Callithrix jacchus: one gene and its partner. The protein of the gene in region 1 interacts with the protein of each later gene in a biochemical or structural test. Links are inferred from orthologs where the notes say so. Each region holds a gene or a part of one and is shown on either strand. Other genes may lie near its edges.

What was found. The genes of interacting proteins can lie anywhere in the genome.
Region 2: the proteins of CRK (region 1) and DOCK1 form a complex in vitro, tested with the Homo sapiens proteins (3 studies listed by BioGRID and IntAct, with this or other methods). The link is inferred for Callithrix jacchus from reciprocal best matches to the Homo sapiens genes CRK and DOCK1.

Annotation. Positions count from the first base shown.
Region 1 is NC_133506.1:66,780,136-66,784,095, forward strand, and holds the start of CRK (adapter molecule crk), read left to right. Parts: upstream 1-1,160; 5' UTR 1,161-1,280; coding exon 1,281-1,521; intron 1,522-3,960. UniProt on the Homo sapiens protein: Involved in cell branching and adhesion mediated by BCAR1-CRK-RAPGEF1 signaling and activation of RAP1.
Region 2 is NC_133513.1:120,225,850-120,229,834, forward strand, and holds the start of DOCK1 (dedicator of cytokinesis protein 1), read left to right. Parts: upstream 1-1,185; 5' UTR 1,186-1,251; coding exon 1,252-1,297; intron 1,298-3,985. UniProt on the Homo sapiens protein: Involved in cytoskeletal rearrangements required for phagocytosis of apoptotic cells and cell motility. Along with DOCK1, mediates CRK/CRKL regulation of epithelial and endothelial cell spreading and migration on type IV collagen.

The DNA.
Region 1 (3,960 bases):
GTCAGCATTTGTCATCCTTTTGTCATCCAGTTTCCTGGTTCCTCTCACTAGTCTGTGAGTTGGAGGAGGGCAGGGCCTGGCCTCCATCACCTTTGCACCCACAGTGCAGGCAGAGTGTCAGTAACGATATGCTGAATGAATAAATGGAAACGAGAACGTCAGCGGAGAAGCGAGAGGAATGCACACAAACAGACCGACGTGGCCGGGCGCAAATGGCTGTCGCCTGTAATCTCAGCACTCTGGGAGGCCGAGGCGGGTGGATCACCTGAGGTTAGGAGTTTGAGACCAGCTGGCTAACAACGTGAAAACCCCATCTCTGCTAAAAATTAAAAAATGAGCCGGGTGTGGTGGTGGGCACCTGTAGTCCTAGCTGCTAGGGAGGCTGAGGCAGGAGAATCGTTTGAACCCGGGAGGCAGAGGTAGCAGTGAGCAGAGACTGCGACACGGCACTCCAGTCTGGGTGACAAAGCGAGAATCCGTCTCCAAAAAAAAAAAAAAAAAAGAAGCTGGACGCAGTGGCTCTTGCCGGTAATCCCAGCACACTGGGATGCCCAGGCGGGCTGATCACGAGGTCAGACGTTCGAGACCAGCCTGGCCAACATGGTGAAACTCCATCTCTACTAAAAATACCAAAAAAATTAGCCGGGCGTGGTGGCGCGCGCCTGTAGTCCCAGCTACTCGGGAGGCGGAGGCGGGGGTTGCAGTGAGCCGAGATCGCGTCACTGCACTACAGCCTGGGCATCAGAGCGAGACTCCGTCTCAAAAAAAAGAAACAGACCGACACTTCAGGAAGCCTGGCCGAAAACTCGGGGGGGGGTTACATGCATCTTTTCTCCTCCAGTTCTGTCTGGGAGTCGCTATCTAGAAGACCCAGGCCTTCCGTGAACGATAGCCTGGTTGTGGGGGGTGGGGGAAGGGCCACCGCGGCCAGTGGCGCAGGCGCACATCTCTGCGGCAGGCGGTGAGACCCCGCCCCCACGCCCTAGACCCCGCCTCCCAGCCCCTGGCCCGGCCAGGCGGCACCGCCCATGAGGCCGCATGCGCAGTGCGCGCGCGAGGCCGCCTTGCCCTTCTCCCAATGGCGGGCGGCGGGCCCTTTCCCGGCAGCCTCCCCAGGGCAGGGAGCGCGTCATTTCCGGTGGGGAAGACCCGCGGCCTCCGCCGCCATTTCGGGCGCTGCTGTGAGGTTGAAACCGGAGCCGGTCTGCTGGGCGGCGGGCGCCGTGGGCAGGAGGGGCGCGCGCGGCGCGGCAGCCCAGCGTGTAGGCGCGGAGGCAGCCATGGCGGGCAACTTCGACTCGGAGGAGCGGAGTAGCTGGTACTGGGGGCGTCTGAGTCGGCAGGAGGCGGTGGCGCTGCTGCAGGGCCAGCGGCACGGGGTCTTCCTGGTGCGGGACTCGAGCACCAGCCCCGGGGACTATGTACTCAGCGTGTCCGAGAACTCGCGCGTCTCCCACTACATCATCAACAGCAGCGGCCCGCGCCCGCCGGTGCCGCCGTCGCCCGCGCAGCCGCCGTCCGGTGAGGGACGGACGGGACGGACGGGACGCGGGGGCTGGGCGTGGTGAGGCCCGCGGAACTGGCAGCCCAGCCGGCTGCTGCTCCAGCGGACCCTCGGGGGTCGCGGGCCGAGGGCTGGGGGACCGCGGCGCCCAGCCGGGGAGCGGGAGCGTCGGGAGGAGGAGCCGCGGGCCGAGGCCCCTGGGTGTGCCTGCGGAGAGCGGCCCGGGGAAGGGGAACTGCTTCGGCCCAGGGTGGGGCTGGCTCCCGGGCCCGGCGCTCGGGGAGGGAGCGCAGGGCAGCGTGCGGACAAAGAGCCGAGGGAGCTGTTGGCACTGCGGGGGCATCCCTTGGCAGCGGTGCCCAGAATGAATCCGGTAATCCTGCAAGTGGCTTTTAGGCTGGAATCGTTTCCTGCCGGGTTTGGCCGTGCTCCCCTGGTGGCCTGGGGTGGGAAGTCACCACGTACTGGCCGGGAGGGATGGAGACACCCTCAGGAAGCCGGTCCGTTTTTTCCTTTCTTGGGCATTTTTCCAAAATACTTCCACCGTCCTCTTCCCCGGTTGAGGACGAAGGGGGTGAACTAAGTGCCTGGGTGATCGGAGGACGCCTTCAGGAACCAGTCCGACCCGCTGTCGGGGCATGTTGGCGGTGTCGGAGCGATCTAAGCGTCCCCGTAGGCTGCCCTCCGCTGTTATAGGCTCTGGTTCTCAGTGTTTAGTGGAGGAAAGACATCTTATTCCAGAAAGTAAACCAGAAGTGAGGCAATGGAAACAGCCCCATCCCTGGAAGGATCTGGAACTTGATATTCCCTGGGCTTGAACAGGGTCCGTGTGTACTCCAGGGCGTGACCTTGCCCCGTGAGCCGAGACTGCGGGCTGGATCTTCCTGGATGTTGGGAACAGACTGCGCAGAGGACATGAATGGTCTGCACGGGGTTTCCTTGCCGGGGACCCCAGGGAGGTGACTGCCTTGCCGGTGACATTGAGTTGTTTGGGAGGGTTAAGGGAGTAGATTTGTGTCCTTAGTGCTGGAGACTGAGGTGCAGAGTCATTCTGAGGTCCCGTTAGATGTGTATGTCTGTGGAACAGCGTCAGGACTTCTCGTGCCTTCACGCTGTTGCCAAGTCCAAGCAGCTTCTCTGCCAGCTTAGACTAGCTCCGGGCTAGCCTCCTATGAATCTAGAAGCTCCTGAGTCAGCCTTTGTACGCTTGCCCTTGTAGGATAGTTCTGATTTAGAGTTACTTTCTGGCCAGAAATAGAGAACTGGATGGGCAGTTTCTTTGTGGTTAACACATACCAATATTTATTTTACTTTTTTCTGAGATGGAGTCTTGTTCCGATGCCCATGCCAGAGTGCAGTGGCGCAGTCTTGGCTCACTGCAGCCTCCACTTCCTGGGTTCAAGCGATTCTCCTGTCTCAGCCTCCCGAGTAGCCGGGATTACAGGCGCGCACCACCACGCCAGACTAATTTTTGTATTTTTTTGTTGTTTTGTTATTGTTGTTGTTTTTATTGAGACGGGGTCTTGCTATGTTGCCCAGGCTGCACTGCAGTGGCTGTTGTTCACAGGTGCGATCCCACTACTGATCAGCATGGGAGTTTTGACTTGCTCCATTCCGACCTGGGCCGATTCACCCCTCCTTAGGCAACGTGGTGGTCCCGCGCTCACGGGAGGTCACCATATTGATGCTGAACTTAGTGCGGACACCGGATTGGCATAGTGCACTACAGCCCAGAACTCCTGGGCTCAAGAGATCCTCCCACCTCAGCCGCCCTGGTAGCTGGGACTACAGGCACGCGCCACTGCGCCTGGCTAATTTTTTTTTTAGTAAAGGCGGTGTTTCAACATGTTGACCAGGCAGGCCTCAAACTTCTGACCTCAGGTGAACCGCCTGCCCCAAAATATTAGGATTACAGGCATGAGCCACCACTCCTGGCCCAGCACATAACAGTTTTTAAAAATGAATATGGGGTCTTTATATTCACAAATTATTCTGGGTCTTTCTCATTCTGGCCAGCTTAATAGTATTGTAATATGAGATGGGAATATTGATGCACATGTGTTTGCCTTTAACCAGATTCTATTCTACTTTGATGCCACCTGCATGGTATCTAGGGTTTTGCATTTCACATAGTAACATGATGGCAAACTGTGATTGAAATCACTTTTCAGCCTTTTGTTTCACACCTCAGTGTAATGATTTTCTGTCTCAGCACTTACTTTGATATTGAGCACCACCTTTTCAAAACAGATAAGAGCTCAGTTCCTTGGCCCAGGACAGAAGGCGAAGATTGCCAAAGTTTGTGGACGGGGTGTGGAAAATTCACAAGTATTGTGATAATTCTTTCTGCCATGTACCCTGTATTCCATGATTCAGTTGCTGTCTTTCTCTCGATTCTGAGACAGGGCCTTTGTCACCCATGCTGGAATGCAGTAACATGAGCACCGCTCATCCTT
Region 2 (3,985 bases), on another chromosome or scaffold:
CTTCGTTTTCTTCCCTTCGTTCCTCCAATCGAAGGAGGCCTGAGACCTACTGCAGTTGTCTCCGTGTCTTGGGAGAGAAGATACCCCATCAATGTACCATGAGAGAATACATTCCCTTAATGTGCCATGAAACCAAATTCATTTCATTTAAAGGGCCGCCTTCATTCGGAGGCTTTGCCCATTTCTTGGTTTTAGCCTCTTTTCTTTTAGGAAATTACCATAAAAATAAATAGGTGTGTGTTGCTTTAACTTTTTCCTTGGAGAAATCTGAAGCCCCTACCTTTTACTGGCATGGGAAACACCAAAGCCTGAGAAGAACTCCCACCAGGGGCGAGGATGCCTTTCCTGAGTCCCACGCGTGGCCTGGGCTTTCCTTTCCCTGCTTCCCTCTCCCCTCTACTTCAGCTGATCTGAGTCCCACAACTATTCTAGCACTAGCTTCTGCAAGCCCAGCTGGGCTGAGGTTTGGGCTGCTTCCTCCTGGCCTCTCTGGAAAACTCCACTCATTCAGAACCCAAGCAAGAGGTCACCTGTTCGGAACGCACTCCCTAGCAGCGCTGTGCCACCTCTTTCCACCCCACTTGCGTGTCTGGCACTTACCCGTGCTGTTACCCGAGGCGTCCCTTTTCCCACCTGCCAGCCGGCCGGTGCGGCGCTCCCAGCACACTCGGGCAATGGGTGGGCGGGTGCTCAGGTAATGTTTGTCGAATGAATGAACGAGCCACGTGCTCAGGAGGGCCCTTCCTAGGGCCTCGGCCGGTTGGTTCGGGAGAAATCCGAGCCAGGGACCTCGCACCACCAGGCTCCGGCCTAAGTCCGCGCCGGGCAAGCCGCCCTTTTCCTACATCGCGTGGAAGCCCCAGCCCGTCCCGCCCCCCAGGGCGCACTGTTCTCACGGCGTGACCGCCAGTCCCGGGAGCTCCAGGGACCCACGAGACCCCCGCTGCGTTGCCAGGGTGCGGGGCGCGGGGTTGGGCGCGCGGGGGCCGAGGAAGGGGCGCCCCGGCGGCCGCGGGGTCCGGGCTGAGGGTCCGAGCCGAGGGCGGGAGCAGAGTCCAAGGCCGTCCCGCCTCCCGCCAGCGCTCCCGGCCTTTCCCATCCGGCCCGCGACGCTCCGCCCGCCCCGTCCCACATGACGCCGCCTCCGCCGCAAACTTTTTCCTCCCCATCCTGTCGCGGCTCGAAAGGAATGGAAAATGGCGGCCTAGACGCGGAGTTTCCTGCCCGACCCGCGGCGGCTCCGGCGGCGCCATGACGCGCTGGGTGCCCACCAAGCGCGAGGAGAAGTACGGCGTGGGTGAGCAGCGCCGCCGCCGCGCCTCTCGCCCCAAGCCCTGGCTCCGGAAGGGGGGGCGGGAGCGCCGGGCGCCTGTTGCTGCCGCCCCGAGCGGCCGCCGGGCCGGGGAGAGGCGCTTCCGCCCGCGCCCGCGCGCAGTGCCCGGCGCCCCCGGCCGTCCCGATTTTTCGAGCCCCCGGCAGCGCCCGCTCCAGGCCCGGGGATCCGGGCCCGGGACCCGCGGGGGTGCGGTGGGAATGGGGTCGGGGGCGTCCCTCCCCAGGGGATCCCCTCCGACGCCCGCTCCTCAGGACCCCCGCGGCGGAGCCCCCCGGGCGGCCCCGACTCCCCGGCTCCGGCCGCTGCCACCGGCGCGTCTGGGCCAGGCAGGGAAGCCCGGGGGTCACTGTCCGGCGGTGGCTTCTGCTTCTTGGATGAACTTGCGCCCCGCGTCCGGGCACTGGGTGGGCGGGCTCAGGTCGGCGCGGTCCGAGCAGAGAATTCCGCCCTTTCCCGGCGGGGAGGAGCGCGCGCGACCCGGGCGGCCGGCGCCCCGAGAGCCTCGGCGGTCTTGCCGGGGACCGTGTGGGACCTCGCCGAGAAGGCCCGGCGGCCCCGGGCCCGGAGACCCGTCCGGGAGAGGGGGGGCCTTGTTTTTCTCTCCGCGGCTCTTTGTCGCTTCCGAGGGGGATGGAGGGAGTCGGGTTGCAAGTTTACATTTCGGACCCAAGTGTGCATTCCAGAGAGGGAGGTTTTCTCTTGTGGTGGAACAGACGGACCCTTCCTCCGGGGACCCGCATCCCGCGCCCTGGGCACCCGCCACCGAGGCCTGTGCACGTCCACCTCCTCCGGACCTGCGTGCCTGGTCTCTGGCCCGGCGGTGGCTGCTGTCCTGCTTTCCGGGGTCCGGGATCTTTCCAGCTGGTTTTCAGCCTTGCTTTCCCTGTCCCACAATCCACAGGCTTCCTTGACCTCCTGCCTCCTCCAGGCTGCTCGGCCAGACTCGGAAAATCTTTGGTGGTCTCGCCTCCCACAGGCTGATTCCTCCGAGGACACCGTCTCAGCAGCAGCCCTGTGCCCGTTCTGTGCCTGGCCCGTGCATGGCCTGCACTGCCGGTGACAGTGATTTGCCCGCCCCTCTGCTGATGTGGTTCGAATCCTGGCCCTCTGACTTTTGGGAAGCGTCCTGGCAGCTCTTGTCCCCGGGACGCTCTCCTTTCTGTGAACAGTCGCTTCTTACGGCAAAGTGTCAATGACTTAAAATGGGCCCTGAGCGAGGAGCCGACTGGACAGTGGCCATGGGGACAGTCCTGGGACAGCCCTGGGTCCCACCAGGCCTGCGCTTGGCTTGTTCCACGTGCAGGGAGGCATAGGGGGCCTCCTTGCTTCAGGACTATTATGGCTGAGCTCCCTCCCCATTGCCCCATTTTGCAGATGCGATAATGGAGGCTCAGGCACGTTCACAGAAGTGCAGGAGAGCTCGTCTGTCTGACTGCAGACTCAGGGTGTAACTGGCACCCTGTGCGCCACAGAATGGATTCAAATTCTGGGGCACTTGGCACGTGCCTTCAGTCTGCATCAGAGGAGGGAGGTTTGGAGTGGAGATTCCAGCTGAGAATACTTGGGGTGTGGCGACAGTGGGGGGTCCCTGTGGTGGAGAGCCTCCTGGGGGCATGTGTAGAGGAGAGAGCTGAGGACTGACTCCCAGGGAACCTAGCACCAGCACGCAGACAGGGAGGAGGAACTGGACGGGTGGGAGAGGCAGGAGGCTGGCAGAGGAGCAGGCATCCCATGGCCCTGGCCTGCTGGGGAAGCAACTCAAGTGCCCATGGCCAGGGTGCAGTGGTGGCCATTGGCATCCAGTGGAGGCATCGGGATGCAGTGGGGGCCATCAGGATGCGGTGGGGGGCCATCGAGGTGCAGTGGGGGCTATGAGGGTGCAGTGGGGGTCATCGGGGTGCAGTGGGGGCTATGAGGGTGCAGTGGGGGCCATCGGGGTGCAGTGGGGGCTATGAGGGTGTAGTGGGGGCCATTGGGGTGCAGTGAGGGCTATGAGGGTACAGTGGGGGCCATCGGGGTGCATTGGGGTCTATGAGGGTACAGTGAGGGCCATTGGGGTGCAGTGGGGGCTATGAGGTTGCAGTGGGGTCATCAGGGTTGCGGTAGGGACCATCACTGCTCCCATTCTACAAAGGCAAGGAAGAGGTGGATTGCTTGCTTGAACTCACATCACTAGTAAGTGGTGCCTCCTGAATGTGAAGTGTGGCCACCCTGGGTTCAGCTGCCACGGTGTCCTATCCTTGCCTGCAGATGGGGATGGCTTCTCTTTGGGACACTACATTTTAAAGGAGACCTTTTTCCCTTTCGTCTGCTCCCAGGGTGACCTGAATGGTGTCAGTGAGGATCCATCCTATAGTGTAGCCAAAAAGAACAGGAGAAGACCAAAAAGAACAGGAGAGCAGGGTCTCCTTGAGGAGGGGGCTGTGAGCCCTTGAGTCTCATACCTTCCAGAAGCTTCACCAGCACTCATGGTAGTGACTTCTAACATCACATCTTTTGCTAATACTTTGGTTTTAAGAAAACTCCATGCTCGATTAAGAAAAAGTAAAATTTAAAAACTTAAGAAAACTTTGTGTTGGAAAATTTTAAAAGGCAAAAAGTATCTGGGATGGTTTTGCCAGGAAATTCTAGGAAAGACGTGAAGGGTTG